Linked DNA regions of Alligator mississippiensis. The protein of the gene in region 1 interacts with the protein of each later gene in a pairwise test. Links are inferred from orthologs where the notes say so. Each region holds a gene or a part of one and is shown on either strand. Other genes may lie near its edges.

What was found.
Region 2: the proteins of UBE2W (region 1) and MARCHF5 interact in binary tests that used the Homo sapiens proteins (3 or more experiments, as listed by UniProt). The link is inferred for Alligator mississippiensis from reciprocal best matches to the Homo sapiens genes UBE2W and MARCHF5.

What each region holds. Positions count from the first base shown.
Region 1 is NC_081826.1:58,931,475-58,938,417, reverse strand, and holds the start of UBE2W (ubiquitin-conjugating enzyme E2 W), read right to left. Parts: upstream 3,057-6,943; 5' UTR 2,963-3,056; coding exon 2,948-2,962; intron 1-2,947. UniProt on the Homo sapiens protein: Accepts ubiquitin from the E1 complex and catalyzes its covalent attachment to other proteins.
Region 2 is NC_081829.1:70,767,298-70,774,771, forward strand, and holds the start of MARCHF5 (E3 ubiquitin-protein ligase MARCHF5), read right to left. Parts: upstream 3,093-7,474; 5' UTR 2,850-3,092; coding exon 2,806-2,849; intron 1-2,805. UniProt on the Homo sapiens protein: Mitochondrial E3 ubiquitin-protein ligase that plays a crucial role in the control of mitochondrial morphology by acting as a positive regulator of mitochondrial fission and as an important regulator of immune response.

The DNA of each region.
Region 1 (6,943 bases):
CTTTATAGATTTACTTTTTAAAAAGATTTCCTCCTGAGTCTTTTTTTCTTTTTTTTTAACATTGCTAATATTTCTGTGTTTAATTCACAAAACTCTTGATCTTCCCTAATTTTGCTGCATGTGCTGAGGGTTTAAAAATCTCTGGTAGCTTTCATAATTTAAGGTAAGTGACTGGGTTATTGAATTTTAGCAGACTTTTTCCTCTCCCTAAAACACTGGTCACTACACAAAGTCATTTTTAATTATTGTTTGCTTTTAGTTACTCCAGTTTCACTCTCCAAGCTTCATGTCAGATCCTTCATTGTCCAAACATAGCCCAACTATCAGGATAAAAACAAAAGGCGAAGAGGGGGAAAATAAAAACAACATATTTCAGACCATCCATGTACATCTTAAAATGCCAAAAAATTAAAAACAAAAAAACACAAGCCCATATTTTCTATTTTGGAGATCACCTTTAAATGACTGGAACAGAGATGATGTCCATATTAAATACATTTACAGAAAATACTGCATAAAAAGTTTCAAAGATCAAATAAAATAGAAGTCTAAAGTGAATAAGCATGCTCCTGCTTTGTCAAGGAAATTGCATCCATCTCAAAAAATCTGAGGCATTTTGAGGAGTTATTTACTTTTGTTGCATGCAGCACCAAGAATTAACTGCCATAACTGCAAGATTATAAACAATGAAAGTTTCTTCTTTACTTTGAATACCTGACAAAGCTTTGTGTATAATCAGTTCCCCCCACTTTCACAGGTCTTTCAAAACACAGGAGGTGCTTATTAAGGAACCACAAAATAAGACTGGACCAGAATGGAAGATGTGCACTACCTGGAGACACACATGCACATCAAAATTATACTTATAAAATAATTTTGAAGTTTATGAGCCTGTTTTAAATCAAAACATACCCTTCCGACTTGCAAATTGCCCTTTAAAAAAATTAACAGAATCTAAAACATTTATAACATTCCCCAGAATTTTAAAGGTTCCACACTTAACAAGACTGAAATGAGTAGTGTCCATAATATACTATCAATAAATGCAGATGCCCAAGAGAATAGTATTTATTACATTAAAAAAGAAAAGAACTAACTTCCTCACTACCATATTTTCAAGAAATAGGTATTAGCCAGAAGACTTATTACCACAATTTCTCACATATAACCCACAGCTTTTTCCCAAATGCAACTGGGAAAAATTGGGGTGTACATTATTAACAAGGAAAAGGACTCCTCACAAATCTGGTTTGTTTGGGGGTTTTTTTTGGGGGGGGGGGGGGGGGAGAAAGGGTGGAGCAGTGGTAGCATTAATTACCCTGGTTCTGGGAACCACTACAATTAACATTGCCACTGCTCTTCACTCTTCCCCAAATTTCCCAACCTGTGGAGAGTCCTTGTCCCCAGTCACATGCTGGACTGGGACAGTGCATAGGGTTGTCCTACAGCTGGAATTGGTACACCAGGTCCAACCCACCACATGGTCCTGGACCCAGCACATGGCTTCAGATCCAGAGTGGTCAGTCTGGCACCATGTACAGCCAGCGCTCAGGGTTGGATTTAACCTGCAGCCCTGCCCTGCCAAGTAGTCCCAGTTTCGGCTTGCTGAATCCATCCCCACTGCACAACAAGTCAGATCGGGCTAGCCCCAGTCCCAGCCTCAGAGATCCCCAGATACCTGGTACTTACCTGTACTCCAAGGCAAGATTCCTGCCCCCCCTACCCCCATCTTGGTGCCTTCCAATAATAAGGGGCATATTACTCACGAAAATACACTACTAGCACTGTAACTTTTGACCTGTTGATCTCCCTAAGCTCCTTAATTATTATCCCTCTTTTACAGAAAAGGAAGAAAGGTGATGGGTGGGAAGACAGTTAAACAAGCTCCTGAAGGACATTTAAAAGGCATAAAGAAACAGAACTCTAGCATCTCAAGTCCCACAAACTGCCTCCTCCAAGTTTCACAATCGATACTTCCCCATATCTGCACCAGGTTTTGAAACAGATCATTGCCCCAAAATTCTGTTTTGCAATTAGTCAAAACTGGGCTGCTTGAAGAAATGCGAGCATAAAATCATCCAACACTTCAAACATGAATGGTCTCACACAGCTCTTCAAGAAACTGGAAACAAAGGACTGACGAGTCTCTCGGACTAGTGGATTACTTGGGGCATTGCTAAATCGGGAATATTCTGTGCTGCGTGTTCAAGCTTTCTGCTCCCTTTCATCTGAAATGACTCAAAAGACCAGAGGACTTCTACCCCTTTCCTGCAGAGCTCTCCACAAGCAAAACCTGAGGACAGTTTCCCCAACATCCCCAGTTTAAGGTTGGGGCACTTAGCTCCTGTTACTCCTACACAGGTGCACAGCTCCTGGTCTGGTTTGCACTTCCCTCCCAGGATGGGGCATCCCAGGAGCCAGGGCCAAGGCTTTATGTGGAAGGAGCTTCGCTGGACCAGAGGATTAGGAGTAGAGACAACCTTGAGAAAACCTAAGCCAGCCAACTGAGAAGATGGTTCCAGGTGGGAGGAGGAAGGGTGGGCATTTCTTTTCAGAGTTAAGGGAGGACTTTGGAAAGGAAAGCCAAGAAGCTGCAGGCCGGCGCCTGACAGGGACGGGCGGGGAAGCCGTGGGAAGCAGCCACCGAACCACCCAGCCCCGCCAATGCCGCACCGCGCAGACGCCGCCGCTTCCGCGGTCAGCACCCGGGCCGTAGAAGGACCCGCCACGGCAGCGGGCTGCGGCCCAGCCCGACGGGGAGCGGAGCGGGGCCCCCACGGCGCGCAGGGCCCCGCCCCACCGGGCGCTCCCAGCTACCCCCGGCCCGGCCCGGCCCTGCGGAGCAGAAGGCGCCCCTGGGAGCAACCTCCACCCCCGCACCACCAACCGCTGGCACCGCCAGCCCTCAGGGAGCTCCGCCGGCCCGGCGCCGCCGCAGGCTCCTCACCTGCATGGACGCCATATTGGATCCTCCCCCTCCCCTCTGCGCCGCCGACCCGACCGCTACAGACGCAGCGCCGCCGCCGCCGGGTCACGTGGGCCGCAGCCCGGGCACCGCGCATGCGCCGTGGCGAACAGAGCCCCACGTGCCTCGAGCTGCACCAGGCCCTGTCTTCCGAGGAGCCCGGCCTCGCCTTACCGTATTGCGCAGTGTGTAAGGAGCGGGCCGCGGAACACGTCGGCCCGAGCCCTGGAGGAAGGAGGGCAGCTGCGCCTTCTTCACGGCTTGTGCAAGGGGGGGGTTGGCTTTGCATGGCCTGGGCTGTCCTCATCTGGCTCCAGGCCACAGCAAACAGGTGAAGGGAGCTGAGCAGTGATCCCAGGGGCCATGCATCCTGCCACAAAGGTCTCTAACGTGTGGCTGGTCCGGGTCTGCAATAAGCCTCTTTCAGCCCACCCCCCGCCTTGCATAATTAAAGTAATGTCTGCCAGGTTAAAGACAGACTGGTTCTGGGGAGGCATAAGTTTTCAGAGGCAACCAGCTACTTCATTGGCTCTGCATTAAATCAAGAACATCTTTGTAGCTGGCTCCCCAATATATCACATGGGAAATTAGCTGGATGGGTGGCACAGGACATTTATTGTACAATTCACAAGTCAGTGCTGTGATACATGCAACACCTGCTGGGCCTGAAAGGCCTGCCCTGCTCTGTGCTGTACTCAACTTCATGCTAGCGTAGCTAGCTACCTCACCTTACCACACAGCAATGGTAGAGGAGCAAAACCTGCTCTGTGCCCCTTCTAGAGCAGTAGCACGATCCTGGGAGGTTTTTGTACTGTTAATTAATTAATTAAAATAGTTTTGCCTAACCTGCATAAAATGAACTGCCAAACAGGAGATTTTAGCACACCTTTAACTCTTCTATGAAATATGAACTTTCATTTCTATCTGGAAGAACTTTTACAATCTTTTCTCCTGTGCCTAAAAAGGCATGCTTGTGCCCAAAAGCTTGAAATTAAAGAATTTTTTTTTCAAAAATCTTGTTTATTAGAATAACTATGTCTCCTCTACCATAAGTTCTGATACCTGTTGCCTCTAGACCAATATGGCTGCAACCCGGATACCTTAAAATGGTTTCTGCACTGATGTTCTCATTCTTGAGTACTGGACACTAATAATATCACTGTAATGTATTTGCTTACTTTCCCAGGTTTTGAAAATGGAGAAAACAGGGGCAGGGCATGAAAGGGAACACCTTTGTGATTTGAACTAAAACAGTAAGTGTGCTAAGTTATAGTGAATCAGCTGTCTCAGAAAGGACAACATTCATTGATTTACAGGCAGCAGGGAAATAGTAAATGCATTTAAACTTGGCTGTGGAAGGAACTAATAACCTACTAAAAGTGAGACTGAAAAGGTGTGGGGGATAGGGGCCTTGAAGACATCTAGAAACATCTTTACACTAAAGGAAATATAAAGATGACCCTCAGTTATTTCAGTTTCTAGCTCAGTTTCTTCTAACTCTCGTGTATCACCTCCTTCTAAACACAGCATGATCAAGCTCATGGTAATGCCCCACCAACACTGATGATAAAACTAATGCTTCCAAAAGCACATCAGATCTCACACACAGCTAGTGCAAGTGTGCGCTGCTCTGATGATGCTGTTGGAGTCGGACTGATGCATAGAAGCTGAGGCTCTGGCCACCTACATTTTACCTGAAGGTCTTTTATCTACATGCTGGCAGATTCCACTGAAGTTTATGTGATAACATTTGACAAGATCATAATTCCAGGTGACATTTGTGTTACACTGAAGTGATTGGTATAAATACCTTCAGTTTGCTGTACTACTTTTGAACTAAATTGCGCAATTAAAATATTAAATGCAAATTGTTGTTACTGTTCCACTAGATTAAGTCATTTGACACATATACATGTTATTCTAAAAAGCATTCCTTGATGCAAAACGCCACACATGTCAAGAACACTAAGGTTAGGCAACAGACACGTGCTTAGTTAAAAACATACTGATGGTTAGCCAACAAGGGTGTAATGACAGTAAAAAATTATTTGAATCCATTATAATCAACTTTTGAATCCTGTGTTCCAGAAAACCTAGCTCAAGGTCAAATGATAAGAGGTGTGTGCAAGGCTGCTACGCCTCAGTGTGCAAATCAGATTTTCCTTTGTATGACAGTGTGGAATCAGAAAAAATATATGCCTTAAACTTTGATTATTTTAGTTATAAGATGACATAACCGCTTTGTGTAGAATTGCTGGCTCGGTACAGTAGAACAGATAAGGGCAAGTGTTTGTTCTTTGTAACTCTTCTGCAAATGCTTCGCTCACCGCGGCCTTGAAGGTAGAAAAAAAAAGTATGTACAAAGTAGATTTCCAGGTGCAAGAAGGAGGTTTGTGAACTAACCCTATCTCCCCCATAATTCCCATCCTGATAACAGCAAAGAAATAATGAAGTAATATTATAGCCGCTTTTCATGCTAATTTCACTATATGATCACGTGAGTTGTAAGCGACTGTTAAAAAGTATATAAGCCTCCTGATTTTGCTCTTGGGGGGGGGGACCCCTTCCAAGTGCTTGGGAAATCCATGTCACTTTGGAACTCCCCCTACAGCTGTAGTTTCTTTTGAATAAAAGCTTCTGCTGACCTGACCCAAAAGTACTCTGTGTGTGTTTCCACGACAATTCCTGGTGCCGTGACTCGGATCCAGAACACAGGCTGAGGAAGGAGGACCGCAGGCTACCCCCCCCCGAACCCTGAGGCGCCAAACTTGAGAGGTAAGAGACCTAATTCAAAATCTCTATTGGGGTTTCGGAGGAGGACTGCCTGTAGGCTCCCAACTTGGCCGTGATAACTGGATCTGAACCTTGTTAAAACAGGTCAGTCTGAACCTTACTGCCGGCTAAAATTTTCTGTCTGGTAAAGGATCCCATTTTGTGTCTGGTAACGTACGTTTTAGGGAGAAACTGTTTGAGGCACCTTCATCCAACAGCACATCGGGCTTGTAGTTAATTAACTAAGGCGGTGTGGGGTAGGAGGTCTGGCTGACTGAATAAATGTGCATGTGTGTGTGTATTTAGAAATATGAGCCACTGACCAGGACTGAGACTACGGTTGGGCTCAGCCGCCCCAATTCTGCCTGACAGGGCAGTTTTGAAAGCAAGGGGGCCCAACTGGAACCTCGTGACCCAGTGGACAGGGCGTCTGAGTGATTTTGTCTTTTCCAAACCCCTCGTCCCAGTAGCTTCTGCCGAAAGCAGGAGTGAAAGGATCCCTCTAGTGTTTCCCTCCCCATTTCCATTTTATGAGCCGGTGTCGGGTCAGAAGCCTTTTGTCTGGGCAGTGAAAAACTGCGGGGCAAGGCACTGAGCGGCCCGGACATCCTAAATAAGCCTCTCCTACATCTCCCTGTGTGACTGAAAATGGGAACAAGTCAGTCTAAACAGGTTCCTGTCCCCCCTAAGGGGACTCCGGCGTACTTTATGTACACACACTATTCTCCCGTGACTTGCAAGTACTTGAATAAGTGGAACTGGTATACTAGGGATGATCCTGTGAAACATTTTCCACAGGAAGGAACATTTGATCAGGATAAAATAGTGCACTTGAGAGGGGCGTTAGAGTCCCGTGGATCCAAAACACCACAAAACCAGTGGGACGCGTTCTTTTATTGGTATGATGAAATGTCCAAAAGGCGGACAGAATCTCAAACTAGGAGCCTAAAAGACTCTCAAGAAAAATTAAAACAGCAGTTAAAAGCTGTTCGGGAGAAATTGGCTGCTCCCCCAAATTACACGCTGGCCACCGCTCCGATGTATCCAGCATTGCCCGGGGCGCCCCCACCACCGGAGCCAGCAGAGGATATCCTTGACCTTTGTTCGAACCCTGCTCTCCTGGGACTCCCACATCAGCAACAACCGGTTCAACATCAGGCTGCAGCCCAGGCTAGTGACCCATTAGCTGAAGCTCCTTCAGTAAAT
Region 2 (7,474 bases), on another chromosome or scaffold:
TCCAGTGCTGGCAGGTGGCTTCCCCCACCACTACTGGGGGGGGGGGGGGGGGGGAAAAATGACAGCTCCAGGTCCTCTGGGCTGTAGAGAAGCATTGGATTTTTTCCCAGTGCCTCAGCTGTTAGTAGGAAGGGCTTTCTGACACTAGGGCTGCAGCAGCAGAGTGCAGCCCAGGTCACAGAGCCTCCCTTTGGGGGGCCACAGGGGGGGGGGAAGGGAGAGGTGAGCACAGTATGCTGGGATGTTAGAAGGCACCCTTGCATCCCCAGTCAATTGGTTGTGTGCAAGCATTTGTTCAAATGCTTGTACCCCAATCACTTAGCGCGTCAAGTTCACCTGATATGGTAGAGATTTCCAACACTTCAATCATTTTTTAAACAAAGTGCTGTGAGCCCTTCTTTACAGAGCATCTCAACTGATAGAACTGCAAGTGGGGAGAGGAGGAGAGGGGAGGGGGCGTGTGCCCCTGGATCTGCACGAGGAGGGGTGGGCTGCACGGGGTTCTTCTCAGCAGGGGCTGGTTTCCGAGCGGGAGTCAGCTGTGCTAGAATGATGCTGCATCCACCGCAAATTTCACCACAGCTCTGCTCCCAGCACTGCCACCGCCAGCCCTCCGGCACTGCTCCGGCTCAGTGCCCTGCCTCCATCCACCCACTGGGAAGACCAGGGCAGCACCAGTGGCTGGCGGCAGCAGCACTGTGACCTGAGCTGCAGCAAAATCTGGGGTGGATGCAGCACCCTCCCTGCACCCGCTTCGAGTCCAGCCCCTGCCAAGAACAGCCCCAAGCAGCCCCGGCTCCAGCCCGCCAACCCACCCTGCCCTGCACAGATCTGGGCCCCTCGGGGTGCAAGCAGCGGTGGGAGCCCCCCCCCACTCCCATCCTAGCAACACCTGCCCATGCTTGTCCCCTTTCTCACTGCAGGAGGCATTGTTCTGCCCCCTGCCCTACCACATTCCTTCCCTCCCCCTTCCACCACAACAGACTGACCAGCTGGAGGCAGCTCTCCATGCTGCTGGGCTCTGCTCATGGCTGCGCGCAGCACGAGCATTTATCTGCCAAATTATTGGCCCCATTGGGCCAATATCCAATACAGCAAATTTTCTTTATATCAGTCCAATATCAGATTGGTACTGATATATCGGTGCACCTCTAAGTGCAACAACAACAACAAAAGTTAATAGTGAGTTATGACCAAAAAAACTAAGGAGAAGGTTGTCTCTAAAGCCAGAGTGGGCAATTATTTCAGCTGCCAGGCCACTTAACAAGTTTTGGTGAGCCAAGGGCTGTGCTGGAGCTGCGCTTGGGGCAAGCAGTGGTGGTGCTGGGAAGGGGGTTACAGAGAATTTTGGGGTGACTATAGCTCCCCCATAGCTCCCCCTCCCAGTGCCACTGCCACCCACCCCACCTCCCCGAGCGTAGTCCCTGGCCGAGCCCGCCCTCACCTCGCGCACAAATCAGGGGGTGCACGCAGCAATGGGAAGCTGCCCCCTCTCTACCGCCTCATGCCCCCTGGGCAATCTGCCATCCTGTGGCTCTGTCCAGCACCCTGCCCTGGCTGGGTAGTGCCTGCCCCAGACCCACTCCGTCCCTCACTGTGGGGGCCTTGGTCTGCCCCTACTCCAACACCCCTTTTCTCTCCGCAGATTTAATGGCGGGATGCTGCTTTCCAAGCTGCAAGGCTGCGTTCCTGGCCGTGTGTATGCTGTGACTGCACACACGCACACAGCATTTATCAGACACATTATCTGTTACATGGGCCAAAAAGCTGATTGTCGATAATGTTGATTTTCCTTTATCGGTGCCGATCTGGTACGAACCAATATATTGGCGTATCTCTAACTTAAATTCTTCTTTGTGACTTTCAGTGCTTCCTAGAGCTCTGTTCACACAGTTTAATTTTCCTTATTCACCATTAACATCCTGTATTTCACTAATTCACTCTCCTTAAAGATAACCTGTAAAGAAGAAAAACACTGTGTACATGTCTTTTTTTGATTCCTTGTGATGAAAGACCGATGGCATCTCCCTGATGTCGATTTCAGGCTTGTTGGCCCGCCTTTTAAAGCATCAAGATGCTCAGCTTTCTGCTCTTTTTCTGTTTTAAGAGATCTTTGTTGGCTCATAATTATGCCTTTAGACCTCTCAACCTTCACTTGGTGGGGTGGAAGTACTGAATCTTTTTTCTGATGCATTTGATTTGGAAATGTAAACAAAAGTAACATTTTCAAGTTTAACTGGCCATCTCACTCACTTTCTACAGCAAAACACAACAAAAAACACACAATCCCATTGTCTCCCATCAGGATTCTCTAACATATCTAGTCACACTCTTTACTGCCCTGCCTCCAGTCCCTGCAATTTCCTCTTTAACTCAACAGTGATTATCCTTTATCTTTATGCCCCTTCCAAAAACATCTATCAAAATGCCCCAATCAGCTTTGTACTCAAGTACCTTAGAAGCCGAGGAAGACATGGAGAAGAACGCTTAGCCCTCAGAAGCGCATCTAAGTCTACCCCAACCGTGAGGCTGGTCTGATACAAGATCCTGCACAGAAGTCCCTGTTTCTCTTATTAAATATTCCTGAGCCTCACAACATCCCAGAGGGCTGCGCGGTCGTGTAACCACCGTTTCACAGACCAGTAAGGGAGACATCGGCGGGTCAAGCGATGTGTTTAAAGCAACAGACTTAGTAGCAGAGGCCGGAAGTGAAACTAGACCCCGGACCGCAGCGCTCCGCCCCGCGGCCCCCGGAGCCAGGCCGGCGGCACCGACCGGTCCGGTCTCCCCCCGCATTCCCCGCACCTGTCCATGGTCTGCTGCAGCGCCGAGCCCACCGGCTCCGACATCCCCAGGGCCGGGGGCGCGCAGGCCCCGCCACCGCAGCACGGGCAAAGCGCCCGTCCTAGCCCCGGGCCCAGAACCTAGCAGCGACAGCGGCTCCTCCCCGCGCCGCCCCGTTGGCCCCTCCGTCAGCGGACGGGGACAGGGACGGGGCCCAGCGCGCCGGAGGTGGCTGCAGCGGGCGCAGGCCCAGGCTCCCCACGCGCTGAGCTGCGCTGCGCAGCGCCACACAGGCGGGCGGGGCTGGCTCCTCTGTGAGGTCAGGCGGCGCAGCCCCGCCCCGCGTCGGCGCTGCTGAGCGGCACGCGCAGCCCCCTGGGAGATGTAGTCCTGGCGCCGCCCGCGGCGGAGGGGATTTAAAGGCCCCCGGGGCCGGCGTCCCGGCTGCCGCTCGCGGGCAGGTAGGCGCCGCCTTCCGAGGGGGACGGAAGCGGCGGGATGGCCACGTTCGCTGAGGGAAAGGTCAGCACCAAGCCCCTCGCTGCTCCCTCGCCCCGGGGGAGTTAAGCGGAGCCGCCGCTTCCCCCGAGTGGGGGGACCTTGCTTCGTGCCCCGCGGCCGCTCGGAAACATGAGGGGGAAGGGACCCCTGGGCAGTCCCCAAGGGGCGCGCGCCGGTGCGAGCAGCTCCCGCCGTGGGGGGAGCGGGCCTGTGGCGAAGGGCGAGACGGGGGCTGAGCCCAGACGGGGCGGGTGCGGAGCTGGAGCCGGTACCGAAGGGTGCGCGCCCGGCTCGTCTCGTCTCTGCCTCTGGTCCCGGGACAGCGGGTCCGTTATGGCCGTTAACGGTCTCTGTGACAGCCCCTTCCCCCGCCGCCCCACTGAGGAGTCTCCTCTCCGGGGGTCCCTGAGGAGCGACCAGCAACTCGTGCTTGATTTAGAAGAGCCTCTGGTTCCTTCGGCGCTGTGGTCTGGGTGGGTGTCTGTCTTGACGTTTACTAAAATATTTCACGATTTGTCAACTACAGTGACACCGAAATACCAGTTGTTTCTGGGCAATTGAAGCAAACTGACAGTTGTGTGCTGGGCACTGCAGCCCTGGCTGTAGCGATGGGCAGGCGCAGGAAGGGCTGAGGGAACTTCAGAGGTTACTTCCCACCACCCCACTCTTGCCTCCTCTCCGTGGGAGAGGCTTGTTTCCTTTGCCTGGTGGTTTAATATTAAATATTAGCTGGAGCTGGAAAGCATCCCGAGAAACGAGGTCTTGTGATGTGGTCTGATACCTGCGTTAATTGAACTGCTAGAACATTGTTCCGTAACTGGATACTTGAAATTGAACATGTGTTTTTCTTCGGCTGAAGTGTATTTTCATTTATTGTTCCCCTTTTTGTATTGGTCCTTTTTCCTTCCCATATTATATACTCCTTTGTTTAGGCCCCATCTAGGCTTGAAAATTTTATTGGTATAATGGCCAGGGTATAAAATTTAGTGACATAGTTAGTGGTAAGAACCATTATGGGGTTATATTGGTGTCATTGGTATATGGTGCATTATAGTTCTATTCTTCTTTATAGCGGTGCAAAACACCTTTGCACCACCATAACTGCACCTAAAGTAGGGAGTTGTACTATCTGAATTGTATTATACTAGCTAAAGCAGCATATTTTTCCAGTATAGACAAGGTCACAACTGTTGTCTTCCTCTTCCCACTTTGAAAAGCATCAATTCCTTCCTTCGCATGTTTTATTTTAATATTACCATTTGGTATATATCACCAACATACACACATGTGCATATGTTGAAAGTTTTAGTGTGTCCAGTAGCCAATACTGAAGTGAATGGGACGAATGATCTGCAAGGATTACAGAATATATCCATGACCTTTTCTAGTCCTGTTCAGTTACTTTCAAATGTGTCCCTTTCTGTAGAAATGATGTGCCTTGGATAAATGTTGTATTATGTCTTCGGTTTGGGTGTTACATTAATGCTCCATGGAGGAGGGTTTGTTTCATTCTTCTTTTTTTTTAGAAGAGATATTAACAGCCATGAAAGATTTAAATTGTTGGACATGGGAAATTACTTGAATGCATAGTTTTCTACTGTGCCAGGACTGGTAGAAAATTGTGCTAAGTACATAAATTTGTCTCCAGTACTTTCCAAAGTATCTGATAGTTTTCTTCTAACGTTTTCAATATTTTTCTGTGTTTAATTTATTGCATTTTTTTAAATAAGTTGTGCTTTCATTAATCTTCAGCAAGTTTGGGAGAAAATACAAAAAATGCAGCTCCAAGCATAGCCACTAATTTTGCAACTGCATTCAAACACCTTGACTTAGGCACCTGCTCAGCTGCCATTGACTTCAGTAGAACTCTGGAAATGCAAAAGTGTCTGCTTAGGCAGATTAATTGCAGAAAGTATTGTGAAGCACTTTATATTCACTGGCTCCTCTAGGAACACACTTCTACTCTACCCCATTTAGTTCCTTAATATTTTGAGTAAAGATGGCTTTAAGAGTCTATAGAGTTCTGCAGAGCTTGCCAGAGCTGAAGGTCTATAGGCTGTCTGCCATTTGTTTTGACAAATATTCTTTCCCTTGCCTGCTCTAGCGTTAATAGAAACAGTTAACATAATTCATAACTGTATAAAAATAATTGTACTCAAGACATTTAGAATAGCATTTACCTAGTGATTCAAATAGGAATGCAAAGTTGCATATAAATGAGGAGTCAAGAACTATTAACATGTCTTTAAATTTCAGGAAGTCCTGTTGCTCTAGCCTTGTGTTTAGGCTGCTGGCTTCCCAAGCCAATCGGCCTGGATTCAAGACCGCTGGCTGCTTTGGCCAGGGACCATTTCTGCTACACGTCCACTTTTTATTAATTAATTGGATGATGGGATTGAGTACATGCTTAGCAAATTTGTGAACAACATCAAGTTGGGGGGGATGGGGATGGGTTGCAGTTACTTTATTGGGTAGGGCTAGGAACCAGTACTATCTGGATAGACTGGACAAATGGCCCTCAAGCAATCGGATGAGAGTCAACAAGGACAAGTGCAGGTATATCCCAAGTCCTGTACTTGAAATGGAATAATTGCATGCACAAATACAGACTGGGGCGTGACTGGCTAGGCTGCAGTACTGCAAAGAAGGTTCTGGAGTTTAGACTGGACTATAAACTGAATACTGATTTGTGTTAATAGGAGTGTCACCTACAAATCAAGGGCAATGATTCTTCCACTCTAATCAGCACTGGTGAAGCCTCACCTGGAGTACTATGTCCAGTTTTTGGCCCCACATTGTAAGAAGGATGTGGACAGATTAAAATCTAGTGCAAAGCAACAAAAATGATTAGGTGCCTGGGAAGCCAGACTTATGAAGAAAGGCTGAAAGAACTAGGGTTATTTGATAATAGTCTTTAATAATGGACAGATAATAGTCTGATACATTCTACAAACACCTGAAAGGTGACTTATAAAGAGGATGAAAATGGGTTTGTCTCTGTAGCTGTAGGGGAGAGGACTAGGAGTAATGTCCCCAAACTTCAGCATGGGAAATTGAGATTGGAGACTAGGAGGAAGTTGCTAACTGTGAGGGTGGTCAAGCATTGGAACACACCACCTAGAAAACTTGTGAAATGTCCATCCTTGGACATTTTCAAGAGCAGGTTGGACAGACACTTGGCTGGGATGGTGTAGTCAGGGACAATCCTGCCTTGAACAGAGGACTTGACTAGATGACCTTGTGCAGTGGCTTCTAGTCCTACTTTCCTAAGATTCTAAAGGATAAACGCCTGAACTAATTAACAAACTTACTTATATTTGTACAGAAAATTAAAAATCCCGTTTACTTTTATAATAGAATTTAAACTCTACTTGGAAAAAAATAATTAATATATTCATTAAATTAAAATTGTTAAAATAAAAGATGGGCAGGTCCTCCTTACTGCTTTTACTGATTTAATCTGAAGGCCTAAGTGGACAAAAGTACATTAAAATTACTTTTATTTATACTCTGTCAGAGTATAAGCTAGCAATTAGGCCCTTGAGTTGTGTCAACACTGTTAATTTATCCTGGCTAGGACACCAATGAGGGAACACTACCCACCTGCTCTTACTCAAATGCATGAGACCTCTTTGCTCTGTAGTATGCTTGACAACAGCCTCACCAGTGCTTATTTGGGTTTGGAAGGTGCATGGGAGCACATAAGCAGGTCATGGTCAGTATGATAGAACCTTGGTTATCCAATCCCCTTGGAAAGCACTCCCCAAAAATCAATTTAGTTGCACAAAGTCCGTGAGAAATGTAGTAGTTGCTCTTTATGTGCCTTTATATCTGTTAAAATTGCTTTCCCTATCTGGTACCATTCACTTAGGAGGCTATTTGAGACACTGCACTTAAACAGTTGAATAGTTTTTAGTTTTTCTTCTTCTGTTTAATACCTTTCTCTTGTGCTTTCCTGTTCAGTTGCTTGGACAAAGACACATGTAGTAATATCAAATCAAAATGGTGGTTAAGAGATTAGAGGCTTCAGATATGGTGAGCATGTTTGTTATTACCCTGAAATAGAATAGTTTTCTGATAGCATACTGTTAGGTTAACAATAATTTGGATTATTAAGAAGTATTAGCTTTACAGCTGAATACAAGGCATGACCTGTGGCCTAGCAATGCAGCTGACCACAAGGCAGAAT